Daphnia pulex: one gene and its partner. The protein of the gene in region 1 interacts with the protein of each later gene in a pairwise test. Links are inferred from orthologs where the notes say so. Each region holds a gene or a part of one and is shown on either strand. Other genes may lie near its edges.

Evidence for each region.
Region 2: the proteins of neurogenic protein mastermind-like (region 1) and recombining binding protein suppressor of hairless-like interact in a two-hybrid assay, tested with the Drosophila melanogaster proteins (6 studies listed by BioGRID). The link is inferred for Daphnia pulex from reciprocal best matches to the Drosophila melanogaster genes mam and Su(H).

Annotation. Positions count from the first base shown.
Region 1 is NC_060024.1:12,901,679-12,911,596, forward strand, and holds the start of neurogenic protein mastermind-like, read left to right. Parts: upstream 1-4,890; 5' UTR 4,891-5,834; intron 5,835-6,968; 5' UTR 6,969-7,110; coding exon 7,111-7,446; intron 7,447-8,779; coding exon 8,780-9,112; intron 9,113-9,249; coding exon 9,250-9,918. Other genes in the region: gem-associated protein 5-like, read left to right, coding at 1-147, 217-820; glutamine-dependent NAD(+) synthetase-like, read right to left, coding at 1,044-1,130, 1,485-1,649, 1,719-2,304, 2,390-2,674, 2,744-2,982, 3,053-3,302, 3,386-3,531, 3,603-3,687 and 2 more.
Region 2 is NC_060025.1:8,028,575-8,037,906, reverse strand, and holds the start of recombining binding protein suppressor of hairless-like, read left to right. Parts: upstream 1-301; 5' UTR 302-1,741; coding exon 1,742-1,825; intron 1,826-3,410; exon of another isoform or gene 3,411-3,660; intron 3,661-4,065; exon of another isoform or gene 4,066-4,269; coding exon of another isoform or gene 4,270-4,290; intron 4,291-4,387; coding exon 4,388-4,690; intron 4,691-4,765; coding exon 4,766-5,096; intron 5,097-6,308; coding exon 6,309-6,594; intron 6,595-6,665; coding exon 6,666-7,002; intron 7,003-7,066; coding exon 7,067-7,241; intron 7,242-7,310; coding exon 7,311-7,448; intron 7,449-7,539; coding exon 7,540-7,949; intron 7,950-8,671; coding exon 8,672-8,857; intron 8,858-8,931; coding exon 8,932-9,168; 3' UTR 9,169-9,332. UniProt on the Drosophila melanogaster protein: Transcriptional regulator that plays a central role in Notch signaling, a signaling pathway involved in cell-cell communication that regulates a broad spectrum of cell-fate determinations.

The DNA of each region.
Region 1 (9,918 bases):
CGACCATCATCAAGAAGGTTCTAATTCAGATCTAGCAGCTCATTTGAGAATCTGGCAAGGAGATGTCGAATCGATGCTACGAGAAGCTGTAAAGAAAAGGCAGCTTAATGATTGGCTTGTTAGTTTGGCTCCTCAAGTCTCTTTGGAGTAAGTTGGCCATTTTTTAAATCACAAGATGAGACTCGACGATCATTAATTGGAGTATTGATCCGATAGGTTTTGGAGGGAAATGGCCCATCTGTACGCCCAGCAGCTGATGGCAGAAGGAGATGTCAGGAAAGCCGTGTCTTATACTCTCATTTCCGGCCAGAAGAGTCAGGCAATTGAAATGTTTTCCAGTCAGCAGTTACATCGTGAAGCCGTGGCTCTTACACGTTGCCAGTACCCCGACGAAAGTTCTCAAGTTCAAGAGAGTCTTTCTCGTTGGGCCAGCAAAGCTGTTTTAGATGGTAATCTCGAATTGGCAGTAAAATGTTTCCTGGCCAATGGCGAGGTAGCTGAAGCGGCTCGCACGTTGGCGCGACGATCAGATCCGTTGTCTCTGGTTTTGTCGGCTGACCTGGCTACAAGCGCCGGTCTGGATCAATTGGCTGCAGCCTATTTACAACAAGCTACGGACATTGCGCAGACTGCCACTGCGACTACTGAAAAACCTAGTCCTACACCGACGAATGGCGATGCCGCCGTTGCGGAAGTATCTCAAAGTATCGATCAAGCGGACAAGAACCAAGAAGTCGTCGCATTATCAACAGCAGCAGCAGCAGCGGAAGACGAGAAAACAGAAAATGACGAAATCATTCAAGAAAATGGGAGAGAATAAATGATGTATCTGGGAGTGTATTATTTGACGGTATTATTATTACAGTCTAATAATTAATTACATGGACGGCTTTGTTGAGCCCATATTATGCTGATAATCTCCTTTTATCTAAAGGCTTATTAATTAATTTGAATCTAGACGGTCACACAGGAGCTCCCCGTTGATCCGCACAATTAGCAGTTATTGTGAGTTTTGGTGATTTCCTTTTCTTCTTCGCCATTAACTAAAATGCAATAGAATTACCTGATTGCATGTGCGCATTATCTAGTTTACGATCATCAGTGTCGACCATCTTGTTGACGTGCTCCAACTAGAAAAAAAGACAACAAAAAAAAGGAGGTGGAACATATCTAAAAATGACATGCGTAAGCCATGGCTTTCCCGACCGATCAATACGCCGGCACCTCTCCAGTTTTCACAGATCAAACAGCCTTAGCATATAAAACCTCCCCTTCCTCCTTTCAGCTCCCCCCCCCCCTCCTCACCCTGACTTTGGTAGCAGTATAAAAAAAAATAAAAAAAGGAAGGATAAAGATTCTCGAGGCGAACCGGGATTCTTCTACATTCTACATGGTAATTCCATTAAAAGCCTAAATGAATAATTCACAAGCTTACATAGTAGTAGTATAGCTGTCGGGCATGAAACGGCTCGATATATACTTACATGAGCGTCAATTGCGCGAAACTGCCATCCCCACTTGGCGTTGTAAAGGAAGGGCCTATGGTCGAAGCGGTTATCATCGGGGCTGTACGTCTCGGCGTGGACGGAAGGCGTAATCACCGTCATTTTATGTCGGTTGATGGCGTAGCAGCGATAAAAATGTTTGACCTTGAAATTGAAACTCTTTTGGTACTAAATTTCCATTTTTTTTCTTTTTATAAAAGAGACATTGTATACTTTGTGTGCGATTTCAGCTGGTGTTCCTGCTCCCCTCCAGCTTTGAATTAGTCGACAGAAAGTGGTGTAAGGCCCACAGGCTGCCTGTTTACGAAGTCGCCCCAAGTCACCCAGCTCGGCGTAAGTTAAACCCATGTCTTCTTCGTCCGTCTGAACTAGACGACCTTCTTGCAAGGGCTCCAATTCGGCAGTCGGCGGAGCTGTCAGAATAGTGTCCAGGGAAGTTAGACAATATTCATTCCGGGCGTATGATAGGAATCGCTTCAAATCCCCTTTGGAGATTCCGCCGATGGGATTAACATCGGCACTGGAGCAATCGTATTTGGTGAGGTAGCCACGCAAAGATTCGTCGACATTGGCAGAACCAAGAACCAACAAACCACCCGATCTGCCCCTGGCCCACAACATCAACTGGGCCAGCAAGTAGCTCAACACCATCCTCATTCGGGCCTGGACGTTTTGCAGGGCAAGGTTTTCTCGCAAACTGCCGCCATCGACTCTGAACTTTGGTACGAGCCCCGTGACGACTGTGAAAATGTTGAGAGCGGCCGAGACAACAGCGTCGATAGCCAGGGTCAAATGATAGCTTATTGGGTGATAAGGAAAAATAATTTAGTGTCTGTTTTTTTGTTTGTGGTGTCAAGTTGGCCAATTAAAAAAAGGTCGTTTACCTTCCCAGCTGGTCAGACAAGTCCTTTGCCCGCTGTCGTGTCTCCGCCGATGAATTGGCGCTGCCCATGTAACAGGTGATGAAAATCCGGTTGCACAGTTCACGAGGATCGTCCGGGATGTAACTGGGATCGCCAACAATACGCCGGACATCGTCGATGGCGTGACTATCGCCATTTTGTACAGAAGTTACCACCATTCGACACATGGAGTAAACTAAAACAGCCGAGGAACTTGAATCGACACCTCCACTCAGAGGTAAGAAAAATCCACCCTGGCCAGACCGCCTTCAAGTAATTTGATGTTCGGTTTAAAAAAAAATGTCATCCTGTTGTTTGAAATGAATTTAAACCAACCTGAGATAGTCCCAGAGCCAGCCGGCAGGACCATAAGCAATCTCCTCTTCAGGACTGTGGTACTGCCATTTGAATGGGGTACTGGAAGCTCTCATAGCGTAGCAGGAAGACTCGCTCAGACTGAAATCGACCGGAATACGACGATACGATGGACTCTGGGCAGCGGCGATGTTTCGAGAACGGACTAAATTGCGGTAAGTTCGTATGTCATCCAAGTCGACAGTGGCTACAGCAACTTCCTAAAGAATAAACCATCGCAAGAAATGATTTTAAAAATATCCAAGTGATACATATTGTGACGAAAATTACCACTTCTTCTAAGGAGAATTGACGCGTTCTAGCGATTGTTTGTCCGTTAAGTGCGATACACGATCCTCCATTAAACATGATACGCTGTCCATCGCAGCCTCTTAAATTTGAGAATAAGTAGCAACCGCCGGACTTTAATGTTGCTTGTAGGACAAGATCGACGGCAACGTTGGCCTTGCGCAACTCAAAGTAGGAACCCGACCCGTTGACGATGAATTCAACGCCGTCCAAACCGAGAGAAATGTGAGTACTACCAAATAGTGTGCATATTGGGTTTTACTGGTCATTAAAACAACAAACAATAATAATATTCATTTGCAAGTACAACTGTACCTGGAGGGATTCCACAATTCTTCACAAATTTCAAAACCTATGGTGGTATCCAAGGTTTCCAGGACTGCATCTCCAAAAACTACAGATTTTTGCCCTGTAAGCTCTCTTATAAACTCTGGCAATATGTAATCCTCTGTTTGGTAAAGCTGTTTACAAAATAATTCACATTTAATTAAGGCCACAGATCCCAAAAACTGGTGTAAAATAAATTTTATACTTTTGTCCAGGCAGTGAACCATCTTGATTCTCTGTAATTGCCATCATCACAGAGTTTCAATTTAGGACGAATCAGCAAGATTTTTCTGCGAAAAGGGGGGTACTGTTTATAAGAAGAGCATAATAACAATAAAACAATTGCTTACCCATTGAAAAAAGCAACTCTGCAATTGTAAGTGACACTCTTGTGCATAACCGGCATGCCAACATCAACTAAAATATTTTTGCATACTGGACTGGCTAATAGTTCAGCCAAAACCTATTTGAGGATCAAAGATCATTTTCTAGATTTCCCAGAAACAAACCGCAGTAAACATAAATCAGAAAAGTGACACGCTAACCTCCCAGCTGTGTAGAAGAGTGTCAGCTTCATAAAAATGATCTTCACAGCTGTATCCTGTGACTTCTAATTCGGGTCCTGTGCGATAACTAGCACCTTGTACTTTTGCTTCTTGGATGCTGGCGATGATGCGTGACAGATTTCCGTCGAAATCCAAAGCCCACTGGTTCAAGCAGCAAACGGCGACTACAACTTTGCGCCCCATGTTCTCCTCGTTGACTGATTTAATACTATTTCCTTTTTACCTTCTTGCCAAGCTGCGGAAATCGACCCAACAGGTTTTTTATTACTTTGCCAATACTAACGTTACCAGAGCAACTGTCAAATCGACAAATCAGCGGGACGGAAGGTTTGTTTTTCTTTTCGCCGAGGTAAACATACAGCATTGCCAGTTTTTGGTAGAAAGTAACTTTTTTTTCCCCTTCCTCCTTTTTTGTGTGTGTCGACGTCTCGACGACCGTTAGTCATTGTGACCTGCAGTGCGGCCTTGGTAGATTTATTATTAAGCATAGGCTTTTTACGAGCAGATTTTCATCAGTTAATGGCATAATAATTTCATCTCCTATTGCCTTACGTATTATTATTACGTGTTTGCATCAAGATGTTGTCTCGTAGCTAATTATTATGCGCGTTTAGCATTGAGAAAATAGCATTTAAGTTATAGAAATGTGACGTTAGTATATCGTTGGTCGCATTGGCCGCTAGATGACAGTTGAGAGGTCAAAAGAAAATAGAAAACAAAAAAAAAATGTGTCCCAATAAAATGAAAATCCAACACACGAAAAATCTAGAAAGAGAGAAGAAGACAAAAAAAAATTATTTTCAAGTAAGACGCGCGGCCGAAACTGTAAACGAAAGCGGAGGGAAGGGAGGAAATCAGGATGAAAGGAGAGAGGCGAAAGAGAGAGGAAAGAAAACGGGTGGCGTCTGCAGCCGTGGCCGCTGTGGCGCTGTCTGTCGGGGAAGAGCCCGAGTCTCTCCCTCTCTCTTTTTTCTTTCTTTTCTTTTTTCGCTTGGCTTTTCCGTTGGCTTTTCAAGTGAAATGTGGTCAAATCCGTCTCTCTCCTGTTAATACGGAAAGTCGTCATTATTGAGCTTTCTCTCTTAAAAATAAATGTATATTCATCAACTTGGACGTTTCTATCGAATTTCAGTCGAATATTTTCCAACGTTTGAATTACGTGGTGTAGCGCCACGTAAAATAAAATAGATATCCCCCCCACCCCAACTGAAAAAGCAGACACACATTTTGACGTGTGCTTGACTACGAGTATCAAGGTGCCGACGGCTAACAGCTCCGAACGGCTGGGGCTGGGGGGACTCTCCAAGCCAATGTGGCAATTGTGTTCAGTCGAAGTTGCTGCTGAACGAGAACGAGACGTATCTCTGAAACTTCTCCGAACAAAATCATTTTTTTTCCCCCTCTTCTTCGTCAATCACACACACAAACACACCAAATCCCCGACGAAATCGATCTCTCTCTCTCACTGGTGTCGTGTGTGTTTCTCCCTCAATTTCGACGAATAATTAGTCTTGGAAAAAATCGCCATTACTCCCCACCACAAAAAAACGTTCAAATGACTCAATCGATTGGCTTTCTTTTTTTCGAAAATTGAATTCTCGGTGTGTCTGTGCTGCCGAGTCTCTTTTTTATTTTTTGGCGCAAGCATAAACTTTGGTGGGGACATATATCCAACGAGTGTGTTACGTGTTGGACGTGTGGTGTGTGTGTGGTGTGTGTTGCAGTGTCTGTGTGTCGACTGGAATCTGGCCAAAAGCAAGCCGAGTCTCGTGTCTTGGATTATTGCACAATTTAAGACTTACCACTTACTCACTACTACCACATACCTCTAACCTCATCTCTGCGGATCTATTCAAACTCGGCACATGCAGGTATGCAATCATCATTTCTTGTGGGATGGGGGGGGGGAGAGAAAATTTCGCCAACAAAAATGGCGTGTGTGGAATGACACATGTGCTTTCTTAAAATATTGTTGTAACCTGTTGAGTGAGTATAAGTTGAGTAACCATCCGGTCATAGAGACAATTGATTGCATGTAATAATCATCATGCCGGTTGTTTTCTTGGGGGATTTTTGTATTTTTTGACCGAATTGGTTTTTGGGGGGACCTTCCGCCCGCGTCACTATCAAACCGCACACACACAACACCAGCGTGAGATTGCAATCAATATTTCACTCTCTTATGTCTGTGTGTGTGTGTGTGTATAGGAGGATGCATCGAAAGGGGGGGTCAAAACGTGTTGGTCATATATATTCCCAGCGTCTGTGTGTTTTGATTTCCAGTCAACGTCCATTTTTAGGTTTTGTTCATTGAGGAGCCCCATACACACACACACTGAGAAATTTGAATGGTTGAGGGTTTTTTATTTCACAGTGAGGGGAACAAGCCCCAGCATATATTTCGAACCTGGGGTTGTTTCCGAAGGGTGTGTGTGGTTGTGTGTGGGGAGAGAGAAAATATTTTGTCTCTCCCCTTCCTCTTTTCTTTTATGTTCATCTTTCAGTTTTTCCCAGTTAGTGACGCGTCAAGTGGTTGTTAACCCGCTCGCTAGGTGGTGTTGTTTGACAAGCGCGCGAGAAACTCCCTTTCGAAATGTGTGTGTGTGTGGAGGAAGGGGGGACTCGACTGGGAGGGGTAGGGAAAGCAGTAGACACAAGGCCATCATTTGGAAACCCATCGTCTCATTACACAAGTGGTGGCCCTTTTTTTTCAAAAAAAAATATAAAAGTATTGTGTTCAAAGAGTTTTTTCTTTCTTCGGGTTGCAATTCAATTTCGATATCAGAGAGAGAGAGAGAGTTTCCAGGGAAAAACAAAAGTTCTGGTACATACTACTGGGAAATCTATAAATTCCAAGTGTTTGAAAGAGTCCAAGGTTATTGTGTGTTTTATAGTTTTTATATCACGACCTTGTGGATGTTTGTCTGTCTGTTCTTAACGTCAATTTTTAGTATTCCTTGTTTGTTTGACGAATGATTTAATAACGTGATATTTTGCAATTGCAGGTTGATTCAGCATGAAAACAGGCCATGTTGTGGAAAGATTAAAGCATTCGAGTAGCAGCAGCAGCAGCAGCAGACTGGAGCCTCAACGGATGTGGAGCTAAGAGCGGGGCAGCCAATAAGATTATTGGTTGCGTGCGGAGTAATGTCGGAGGTGCTGCCTCCGAAACGTCAGGCGGCCGTGGATCGACTGCGGAGGCGAGTCGAAGTCTACACCAAGGATCATCAGGATCGATTTATGCACTATGATCGAATCGGACCGGCCTTGTGCGAACAGCAAATGCAAGAGTCGTTCGCATTGAAGCAAAAGTATCTCGACCCCAAAGCCAAAAAGACGAGTAGCAACAGCAAGAGCAATAAAAGCAGCAGCAGCAGTAGCGGCGGAATTAATAACAACTCAACTACTAATACCGGTGGTGGTCCGTCCAGCACCGAACGTACAAAACCGGCTACGGAGACTCACGCCGGCAACACGCAGTCGGTAAGAAACAAACCATCGAAATCTTTTTTACTCTCTTTTTTTTATTACTATCCCTATCATCGATCCCTTGACTCCTTGTGCGACGCTCCTGTAAGGAGTTGCTCTTTGTCTCTCTGTGTGTGTGTGGTGCCCACCAGCTGAATCATTGATTCCCGCTACCCCTTCCGCACCCCTACTACTACACTACTCCCGCTCCTCTTGGGTAGGAGAAATAGAAAATGTCTTACGTACAAAAATGTGATGGACTTTTGCGTGAGAAAATAGCGCCAAGATTATTATAACTGCACTGGAAAGAAAAAGAAAAAACCCGTTAAACAGATGCGATCAAAAGAGGTCGTTCACCACCATCACCGGTAGCGAAACCAGCGCAAACGAACCCATTTCTTTTCTTTCTGTGGGGGGGAGGAGGATGTGTCCCGCAATTTAACCGGTGCGCGCTGTGTGTATATTTCAACACAAGAAACCCCGAAATAGAAGAATTATAATGCTCATTGTATTTTTGGTAGGAAATATTTTTGAGAAAAATATAGAAATCATGTGATGATCGGGTCAAGCGCTTTCGTGTGTTTGTGTGTGTCGGTGACCTCATTGTCCTGTATTTTGCCATCGAGGATGTTAGGTGTGTAGAGGAATGGCCGTACAGTAGAGGAGGAACCTACACACAAGGTTCTTTGACCGTGTAGAGAGAGAGGGGGGAAGAAAGGTATTGAACCTCGGGGCAGAATGAGAGGAAGAAGAAGAAAGAAGAAGAAGAGAACTGTCGCGCTCTCTCTCTCAACTTCTTGTTCGTCGTGTCGGACCAATCAGCGGCGTTGATGCGAGCCATCACTGATAGAGTGTGTACTACTACACCAGCGCACTCGGGGTAGGGGCTCTCGGTTCGGTCACGGGGTGGTCCAGGTAGCCAATAGGGAGGGCCGGAATCTCTCTCTACACACACTGTGAGATATCCCGGAGATGGGGGTGGTGTGTTAAGGACTTGGCCCACCTCCTTCTCTTCTCTTCTCTCTCGTCTAACTCCGCCGCGAACTATTGATCCCCTTTTTGGCTGTGGATAAAAAGAGGACTAGTACCACCACACACACACCACCCTTCCTAACTCTCCTTGACTGTCCGCCTCCTACTCCGCCAAAAAAGAAGAGTGAAGGGGGGGCTTTGACTCCCTATTTTCCCCTCTTCTTCTTCCGACATTCGATTATCGACCCGGCAACCATTTTCTTCTCCCTCTTTTATTTTATTTTTGTCTTGCAACACATTTCAAACATATTTTGGTTGGGGAAATCAATCAATCAATAATTTTTAAAAAAACTGACAATTATGTTTTGTTTATTAGAATAAGTACGGGAAGCGTCCGCTGGACGAGAGCGGAGATGGAGGAGGGAGTGAGTCCAGCGGGATGAACGGATCATCATCCCAAAATCAAAATCAACAAAATCACTCCTCCTCCACTTCGTCGTCGTCGACGTCGGGCGGCGGCGACGGACCACCGGCCGCCAAGATCCAATGCACGACGACGACGACGGCTAGCTCATCGGCGACGGCCTCTGGTGGCGGCCCAGCCAAATTCTCGGTCGAAATCGTTCAGCAGCTCGAGTTCACCGCTAGCGCCAGCGGCGCCACCAGCGTCTCTGTCAAGACGCTCACCAACACATCCGTCAAGAGCGAGGTGAGTTATTTCAATGATGATGATGATTATCAATGACGCTCATCCGGTCATTATCCAGTCACACACACACAAAAAGAGAAAACGACGAATTGAATTTTTATTTTAAAAAATGTTTGGTGTGTTTTTTTTCTCCCTAGACTCAGGTGTCGCCATCCAACGGCCAAGATGGCCCGCCCGAAATGAAAAAGGAGAAACGATGCGACACGCCCGACTTTATGGCGGAATTGAACGGCGACTCTGATGAAACGGCGGCCGATTTAGCCAATTTGGAGCGTTTCATCTCGGAGGACACGTCGGATGGAATCATCAATGCGGATACGTTCAAAGATCTGATCTCAGAGATACACGATCTGCCTCCTGAATTTATGGAGGAATTCGATTTCGACACGACAGACACCAACATCAAAAGTGGCGGACTCTTGTCCGATCCATTCGGCGCTCCTTTGGTATCCGACGGATCTCGCACGGTCGACTCCATCGTCTCACGACTCAAGCAGGAAGAGGTGGAAGCGGCCGACCGCGAAATCCAGGCAGCCATGCTGGATATCGGCAAATCGATGAGCATGAACGCCCAGTCGAGTAGCAGTTCCAGTAGCTGCAACAACAACAACACGTCATCATCCATCTTGACGACGAGTATAACGACATCCAGTTGCAGTACGGCCACCCTATCATCGACATCAACTGGATCATTTAACAACAACAATCCGACTGGGATTGCTCCAGGGCCGTTTGTTGATACCTCCAAAAGCACCCCGCCCATCCAGCATCAACAGCAGCAGCAGCAGCAGCAAAGAGTGGACAAC
Region 2 (9,332 bases), on another chromosome or scaffold:
ACAGGTGACACTGACCTCGTCGGCGACCCCAACAAGCCCCCACCTCTTATATACGTTAGGAGCATTAGGAGCAGCCACCTCTGTACACCGCCTCTGACCTCTTGACGAGGTGCTCTTGTGGAGCTGCTCACCGTTCCACTTGTTGCCATTTTTTTCTCACGGCCCCTTACGTACCTGCCGCCCGATTGCCAGCGCATCGTGACGTGATCGACGAGTCGCAATGGGAAATTTATTTTCCTTCATCATCGTCCAAAATTTGAATTTTTGTTTTGTCTACTTTTCTTGTCAAATTTTTTCGTTCAAAATTTTTTTTAAATTTCGAACTGGTCAAATGGCCCGAGAAATGTTAGAACGGTGGGAGGAGCTTAGTTTTTTGGTTAAAAATAAGGAAGGTGGAGGGGAGGAGGAGGAGGAAGCGGGTTTTCAACACCAACCCCACTTTGTGTGTGTGTGTGTCTCCTTTCCGTGGATGCTCGACTCCGACGTCGTTCTCACACATTTGCGTCGGCGGGAAAAACTTTTTCTTTTTCTTTTTTTATTATGTCTTTCTTTTTATTTGATATTTATTTCGACTCTCCTTGTTGTTGTGTTCCCATCAGTTGGTTTTTTTCTTTCTTCTATTTTTACCTTTTGCGGAAGGAGCTTCTTCTCCTTCAATCCATCGTCCCGCGTGTTACCGCACAAACACGTGTGTGACGTCATTTCAAATGGTATGGTGGGGGGATATCTTTGTTGTTTCTTCCTTTTTGGCTACGCCACTTGTTGCCGAACGAAGTAAGACTCGAAAAAGAACGTCGACTAAATTTTTGGTTTTTTCCCACGTTATGCTCGCGTTACAACTTCCCCTTTAGCTCCGGCATCTCCATGTCTGTCTTTTTTTTTAAAGGGAGTGAGGGGGTCATTATTCAGTTTTATGCGGATGAACCCCCCTGCTCTACACTACACCAAATGACACGCCCTTGATGTGTTTGAACCCGACGACAAATTAATGGGAATTTCAGCGCATCTCTTGAAATTTTTATTTTTCAATTGGGATGTAGGCCCAAATTCCTTCCCCCCCCGATAAAATAATTAGACGTTTGATTCATCGGATTCCCCCACAGATCCCCCATGGTGTGTGCATATTCATTTACCACCCGTATTTATTAATTTGAATAATTCAGTTCGATCAAATTGGAATTGAATTGAAATAGGAAAAAATCAGTTGGGGGACTTTTTGGATCAAAGGGATTATTACGTGGAGCAGATTGCTGTGTAAATCTATTGGAGTCTATTTAAAAAGTTGTACAACAAAAGACAGACCTCCCCCACCCGATGACGCTTTCAACTCCCCCCTCCTTCCTCTTGTGTGTCCGTTTTGCTGGGGGTAGTAGGAGGAGGAGGAGGTACAGCTGCACACATAGTGTGTCTGTGTGCTCGGGACCTACCCTCCTCCCCCTATACACTCCACCCTAGGTGAAAAGGGGGCAGCCGCCGCCGCCGTCGTCGTCGTTGGGTAGAAAATGTTCAGTTTAGTTGCACGACGGTTGGACTGGAATCAGCACGCGCCCAGTGGCCGTCCTTGTCTCGTAACATCCGTCGATCTCAACGGAATTTGGTTTATCTCGTCGCCTAGTGTTTTTCGGTTTATCCAGTGAATTTGGTTTTGGACACATGTGACGCTTTTTAGCCATTGACAATCGTCAACATTTTTCGCAGTGAAATATTGGAACGAAGTTTTAATAAAAGAAATTTGGACAAAATGCCCGACGTTGCGCCCAGCTCAATGGACCTCGACTCGGAGCCCTACACACCCAGCGCACGTAGTCCGCTCGCCGATACTTGGGTATTTAAAAAAATAATAATAAGGAAGAAAATTTGAAGTTTTCCAAGTTTTGTGTTTGCCGACTCGTGTTGATATTGGCGGCAATTTTCAAACGTTTGAAATTCTTTTGATTTTATTTTTACTGGGTCGATGATAAGAATCTTACGACGATGATGATTATGTCGGCGATAAGGAATGTGTCTCAGACTCAATGACACACACACACACACAGACATGCGTAACCGGTGATATCGTGTGAAAAAGAGAAGCCGACTTGTGTCAACATCACGATTTTCAGTTATAGGCAATTCCCGATTTTTACGACTTTGGCTGTCGTCCACGATTATTTCCTGTCCGGTAGCCCGTTTATTTTTTATTTATTTTTTTCCTTTTCTTCCCGGCATCTTTTTATTGGATCCGAATTCAATTCTCCTTGAATTTCGATCGGATAAAAAAAAATGATCAAATTTCGAACAATTTGAAAATTTTGAATTTGGCGCGCTCCGCTCGAATTTTGTTTACACACGTGAGTGTGTGGGAAAAAAAAAAACTTTTCTTCTGTTGTTGTTGATTATGTATTTGCTCCCCCCCCCCTTCCTCTGATATTAAAAGCCAGTATAGAGAGGTAACAGTTAGTACATGAGCTTTAGTGTGTGGGTTTTGAAAGAGAAAAAAATAAGCAGGGCGGAAGGATGTGCCCGCCGGGGTTTGCGGAGGAGGTCATTTATACATACAAAAGGTTAGTCTCTGTGTGTGTAGTGACTACCGTACTACTACTACACTACTACTATGTCTATATAGTAGCCACCACCACCACCAGCGGGACTGTGTTTTTCATTTTCCCAGACGGCCAAATTCTTTCCCACGAACCGGGGCGGGTTTGGTGGGTGCATGGGTACATGGGTCGAGGTTTTGATCACAACTCTCCTATACATTCTCCCCCCCCCCCTTTCCCCCCACTCATTTTTGTGGGGGTTCACACACAAGAAACTTTTTCAATTGACATTCCATCGGGCCTCGCCCAGCAACTGCACAGCCCAGCACTGAACAACTTGGTAGTTTCTCCTCTCTTAGAAAAGTGATGGCGATTCGTATTACCGATTCCCAGATCGGTTTACTTTTGGCTGCTCAACATCTAAATTACAAAAGATCTCTCATTTTTCAAATGCTTCGCCAAATCAATTTTCATTTGGGTGACTACAAGTGTCTGTCCGTCTGTCTGTCTGGACGGACTTAACATTTAAAAAGTTGAGTTGCTTTTGTTTAACTTTTTGATTTCGGGTTGATTTCTTGACAAGAATCTAACAAATTGGAGATAACACACACACACACAGAGACGGAAAGAGTTAACGAGAGCCTTCTAAAGTGTCTAGTGTGTTTGTGTGGGAACCGCCGGCGGCCATCTCTTTCAAAAAACTTTTTTTTTCTTTTTTACTTCTTGTTCAACACAAGAGGGGAAAAACAACAAAAAATGTGTGTGTATTTCGTACTATATACCCTTGTGTGTGTGCACTGGTTCAAACAATTTGTTCTTTTAAAAAATAGAAAGAAGAGGGGAGAGCCCCTTATTTTAAAAGAAAAAGGTCATCCGATCCCTTCTCTCTTATTCAAAAAAAGATGCCTCGAGAGAAACCGTATAGAGAGTAGAGAGGAGCTAGGATACATAGAGAAGAACAACCCACCAACTTCATTTGCCTGCCGGAGACTGTGGGAAACGGTCACTTTTTCAAACGCACTCTGCACTCGACCAACTTTTGAGTTGGAAAATATTTTTTTTCAAGTTTGAATTTCCCTCCCTGCACAATGTTGTCCAGTGAATTTGTTTCTATACGCCAAGGATTATTCATCATCGATCGGTAACAAAAACTTACGTCATCTGATTTTTGAAAAAAATGTTTCTTTAAAATCTAGTGCACGTGGAGATTTATGGATATTATTCTCTCCCAGAGTCTATTTCTTTTTCGGTCGGCTCTGTTATCCTCGACGTCATTCAATGTGTATACATAGCGAAGTGGGTGACGGGGTGGGGGGTGGAGAGAGAGAGAGTGAAAAGCGTGTGGGAATCGGCGCACCTGTCGACGACGTCGTCGTCGCTTTAGCCACCGAGTGGCTCTCAACGCGCACGTCCAAAATGCCGTGCCAGGCCAAAACGTCTCTCGGGGAGGGGATGAAATTATTTTTTTCTTTTTTCTCTTCACGTCGTCGTCGTATTCGTCGTCGTCGGGTCAAGTGTGAAATAACAACCGACACTGTAACGCAGCCCAGCGGGACAGTAGGACTCGGGCCGAGCATCAAGCCGGTCTCCCTTTCAACTCTGGAAAAAAACAATTTCATTTTTGTTTCGAATTCAATCGGCCGTTTCGTTATTTTCATTGGGACAATGTGTCGCCATTTTCTCGATTGATTGATTGTTTTTGGATCAGATAAGATTTTTTGGATAGTTTCTTATTGATTAGATTTGAATTATGCCTCTAGCTAAGCCGTTGGTGAGTCGAGTCGAGCGTTTTTGGTTTATTTGGTTATTGGCGTGGAAATTTAAAAACGAAACTTTGTTTTAATATTTTGATTGAATTTTTCCGACAGGCCCATTACGGGTTCAGTTTAAGTGGCGGTTACGAGGCCCAGCACAGCCGCGAGTCTGTGGATTTGATCGGCGGAGTCAACAACAGTGTGGCCGTGACATCGGTGGCCGGAACGGTCGGCTCATCCGGTTCGACAGTCGTCGGCGTGGGACACGGAAGCGGCGGCGAGGTGGACGTTTGGTCCAATTCGCACGATCCTTATTCGCCCCACAATCACCACCACCATCAGCAGCAGCAGCAGCAACAACAACATCACCACCAGCATCATCACCAGCAACAACAACATGCCGCTTATTACGGACAGGTAACATCCAATCAACTTTAAACTTTTCAAATTCCATTCCGTTTGCAACTTTTCATTTTATTTTCCTTCAAACAGTCTGTGGGTGGAGGGCAGGTGATGACGGAATTGCTGACAGCTACTCATCCGCCGTCTTCTTACAACCTCAACCAGCCTCAACAACAACAACAGCAGCAACAACAACAACAACAACCGTTCACGCCTACCGAGCAGCACCCGGTCGATTTGTCGAATTCTCAGCAACGACCTCCCAATCCGGCCGTTTCAGCCGCCACTTCGGCCGCCTTCTACGGTCTCTCGGCCGCCGACTACAACAGCCCCGCAACCTCGTCCAGTCAACGTCAGCGCGGAGGCAACGACACCTACAAACCCAACGGGCTCAGCCTCTCGCTGGGCATCCCCGATTCCGGTAAATATTAAAAGTCAAAACGAATAAATAATTTCAAAGCATATTGTCGTCATCATAATGCGGAGTGGTGGATGAGGGGGAGAGTCTATCGGTCACGGACCCTCCCTTCTCTTTCTTTCTCCCCCCGGAATAAAAAGATGGTCACCATGTGTTGGATATCGATTTGCGGAACTCGAGTGTTTTCAACGGTGGATTCAGGGAGTGGGGGAGTGAGAGTAGGTGAAGGAGTAGTAGTACTAGTTCCATCAGCGTTGCACACTCGATCGATTTATCGGCCAGAGAGAAGCAAATGCATTTTGCATTAAAGCGTTGAATCGTCTCCATACATATAACTTTGTATATGTATACCCTACACACACACACTCATAAGCCCACCCTTTTCGGTTTGGAACCCCCCAGACACCCCTCCTTCCTCCTCCCTCTTATTCCATCCGCAACATCAAATATAGCCAAGCGTGGGAACTCAACCGGGCGCTTGCAGGTGTCGTTGATCCTCTCTCCTCCCTTCCTCTGTATGAATGTGTCTGGGGCGCACTGGTACACACACGCGGAGGAGCGCTTGTCAAATTTGTTATTTGGACCGGGACTAGTAGGAAGCGATAAAAGAAAATTGTCATCATTTTTAAATGGGGAAGAATTTCAGATGACATTTGATTTGAAAAAAGGGTAGACGAACGAGATGTTGTTGGGAAAAATATGGAAGGCCCCATGTAATATTCATCTAAAAAATAGAGAAGCCCATCCGTCCATCCGCCGACTAGTTTTTCATCTTTTTTCGGATGTTTGTCTATGTATGTGCGAATTGTTGCAGCCGGGGAGGGTGAAAATCTTTTGTTTTCCTTCTTTTTTCTTCTAAAAATGGGAGGGTTTGTGTGTGCAGAGAGAGAGAGAAGGACATGGCAATGTGCCGACTTGTGTGTCTAATCTTGTGCAGCTCGCACCCACTGCTCCGTTTCCCACGGCTTTTCTTTTACTTTTCCCAGTTGCAGAGTCGATCGCCCTAGAACGCTAAAAGTTTGTTTTGTCTTTTCTCTTTTTCTTTTATTTAAAAAAAAAAAGACACACGAGGAAATCTTTTGTTTTTTGACTGATGTGAGCGGCACAGATTCGACAAAATCTTCCAAACAGATATTGTTTGTCTATTTGATTCATTTGGAGGACATTTTGATCTCGATCGGAAATTTTAATTTTGAATTGTTTGTTTTTTGACAGTTGTCGGAGCGGGCGGATTGATTCCGGGCTCTTTGACTCCACCGGACAAGGTGGTGGGAGCATCCGGCGATTTGAGCGGCGGTCATTTGCTCAATCAGCAACAACAACAACACCATCATCACCAGCAGCAGCAGCAGCAGGGGGCTCAGCAACAACAACAGCAACAACAACAACATCATAACCCTTACGCCCTGGCGCATCCCAGTTCGGCCATGGCTCCGACTCTGCAGACTCCGCCGTCGCCTCTTTCGACTCCGTCGCCACCGGTGCCCATCGATCGATACGGGTAAGTCGCCGTCATTATTATTATTATTCCGGATTAGTTTGATTGAATGAATTATTTATATCAAATAATAGGCCGACCGGATCGGCGTACAGGGGCGGAACCAAGGAGCAGCGGCTGACCCGTGAGGCGATGATGCGCTACCTGCAGGAGCACGGCGACATGGTCGTGGTCATCCTGCACGCTAAAGTGGCCCAGAAGTCGTACGGCAACGAGAAGCGCTTCTTCTGCCCGCCGCCGTGCATCTACCTCTACGGCGACGGGTGGCGGAGGAGGCGCGAGGCCATCCAGCGCGAAGCCGCCGCCAACGGGGCCTCGCCCGCAGAAGCCGAAGCCGCCTCGCAGCTCTGCGCCTTCATCGGCATCGGCAACTCTGATCAGGACATGCAGCAACTCGACCTCAACGGCAAAGTAATTTTCAAATTTTAACCAATTCCGGAATTTTTTATTCATTGGGAATTTTGATTTCTGGCAGAGTTATTGCGCGGCCAAGACGCTGTTCATTTCCGACTCGGACAAGCGCAAGCATTTCATGCTGTCGGTGAAAATGTTTTACGGCAACGGCCAGGATATCGGCGTCTTCCACAGCAAGCGGATTAAAGTCATTTCCAAACCGTCCAAGAAGAAGCAGTCGCTCAAGAACGCCGATCGTGAGTGTTTTGATTCTTATTTTTTCAGTTCTCGATTGACTTAACATCTGACTGTGTAAAAATTCCCAGTGTGCATCGCCAGCGGGACCAAAGTGGCCCTGTTCAATCGACTCCGCTCGCAAACGGTCAGCACTCGTTACCTGCACGTGGACAATAACAATTTTCACGCCAGTTCCACCCAATGGGGCGCCTTCACCATTCACTTATGTGAGCATCTACTACAAAAATTCCGCCATTTGTTTCTCGACTTAACTGAAAACAAAAATAAAATGTTTTGATTTCAATTTTGTTTCGGCAGTGGACGACAGCGAATCCGAGTCGGAAGAGTTTACGGTGCGCGACGGCTACATCCATTACGGCAGCACGGTCAAGCTGGTGTGCAGCGTGACGGGCATGGCCCTACCCCGGCTCATCATCCGCAAAGTGGACAAGCAGATGGCCGTTTTGGACGCCGACGACCCCGTCTCGCAGCTGCACAAGTGCGCCTTCTACATGAAAGACACGGAGCGGATGTACCTGTGCCTCAGCCAGGAGCGCATCATCCAGTTCCAGGCGACGCCGTGCCCCAAGGAGCCCAACAAGGAAATGATCAACGACGGAGCCGCCTGGACCATCATCAGCACCGACAAGGCCGAGTACCAGTTCTACGAGGGCATGGGACCCGTCCGCAGTCCCGTCACCCCTGTCCCCATCGTCCACTCGCTACACGTGAGTCCCTTTTTCAGCTGTCGATTGCGTTTTTCTTGTTTTATTGGCGTCCGATTCGTCAATGAGATAAAAGTTGGAAAAATTTGACGGGAGGCTAAGCGACAGGAGATAAGATACAAAAATAAAGAAATGCCCCAATGGCGTCGGGCAGGATGGAAAATAGGCGTGAGAATGCCAGACGGACCTTCTCACGCTCGGCCCCCGAGACGAAAAAATTGTGACAAGGGAGGGGTTAGCTTCTTTTTTCAACTGATGTTCTTCTTCCTTCCTTCCTTCCTTCTTTCTTTTCGTTCTTCACTTCTTCTTCTCCTTTCTTGTTATATTATCCAATTTGGGTGGCGAATGCGTTCCCACGGGAAAACTATGCGAGCGATTTGTTGTCGCTGCTGCTGCTGCTGTTCAGAGTCCTTTTATCCCGTTCACCTCCTCCTACTCTTACTTGGTCTTCTTTTTCGTTTTTTTTCCCACACATTTGTTATATCGTTGACCGTCGCAGGTTGACCACCAACCAACCGACCACTACAATCAACGCTGGATGGCACCAACAAAGCGGAACGCCAATTTTCCACAACTATCCTCATCCTCCCTCCCAAACATTTTTTTTTGTTTCATTATTTTTAAATTAAAAAAAGAATCCCGCTAGTGCCGACGTCAACCATATTTTTTTGTTTTAGTCCGTCCTAGTCCGTCAATTTAATTTTTGCCTTTTCGTATTTTCATAGTTGAACGGTGGCGGCGATGTGGCCATGTTGGAGCTGATGGGCGAAAATCTGACACCCAATTTGAAAGTGTGGTTTGGCGACGTGGAGGCCGAGACCATGTTCCGCTGTGAGGAGTCGATGCTGTGCGTCGTGCCCGATATTTCAGCTTTCCGTTCCGGTTGGCAGTGGGTCCGCGGACCGACTCAGGTACTTTTCATTTTCATTCCGTTTTGTCTTTTCTTATTTTTTCCAGATTTATTGATGTCATTTTTTTTTCGTAGGTTCCCATATCTTTGGTGAGGAGTGACGGTGTCATCTACGCCACCAGGTTGACGTTCACCTACACACCGGAGCCTGGACCGAGGCCGCATTGCCCTCCGGCCCAGGAAGTCTTGCAGCGCGGGGTTGTAGCCGGATCTAACAATGCCGTCAATCCGATGGCACTCGGCTACGACAACCAACACATGCATCATCAACAACAGCCGCAACAACAGCAACAACACCACCAGCCAATGTGAAATTAGAGAGGAACAAAAAAGAGAAACTTTTTGTGACGGCCCGGAAGAAATATTTGGTTAGTTTGTTTTTCTTTTTTTTTTTTCTCCGACACAAAACAAAAAAAACCCTACAATTCCAAAATGTTGTTTTGTGTCCTGGGCGTGTTGACTTAGATTTGTTGTGT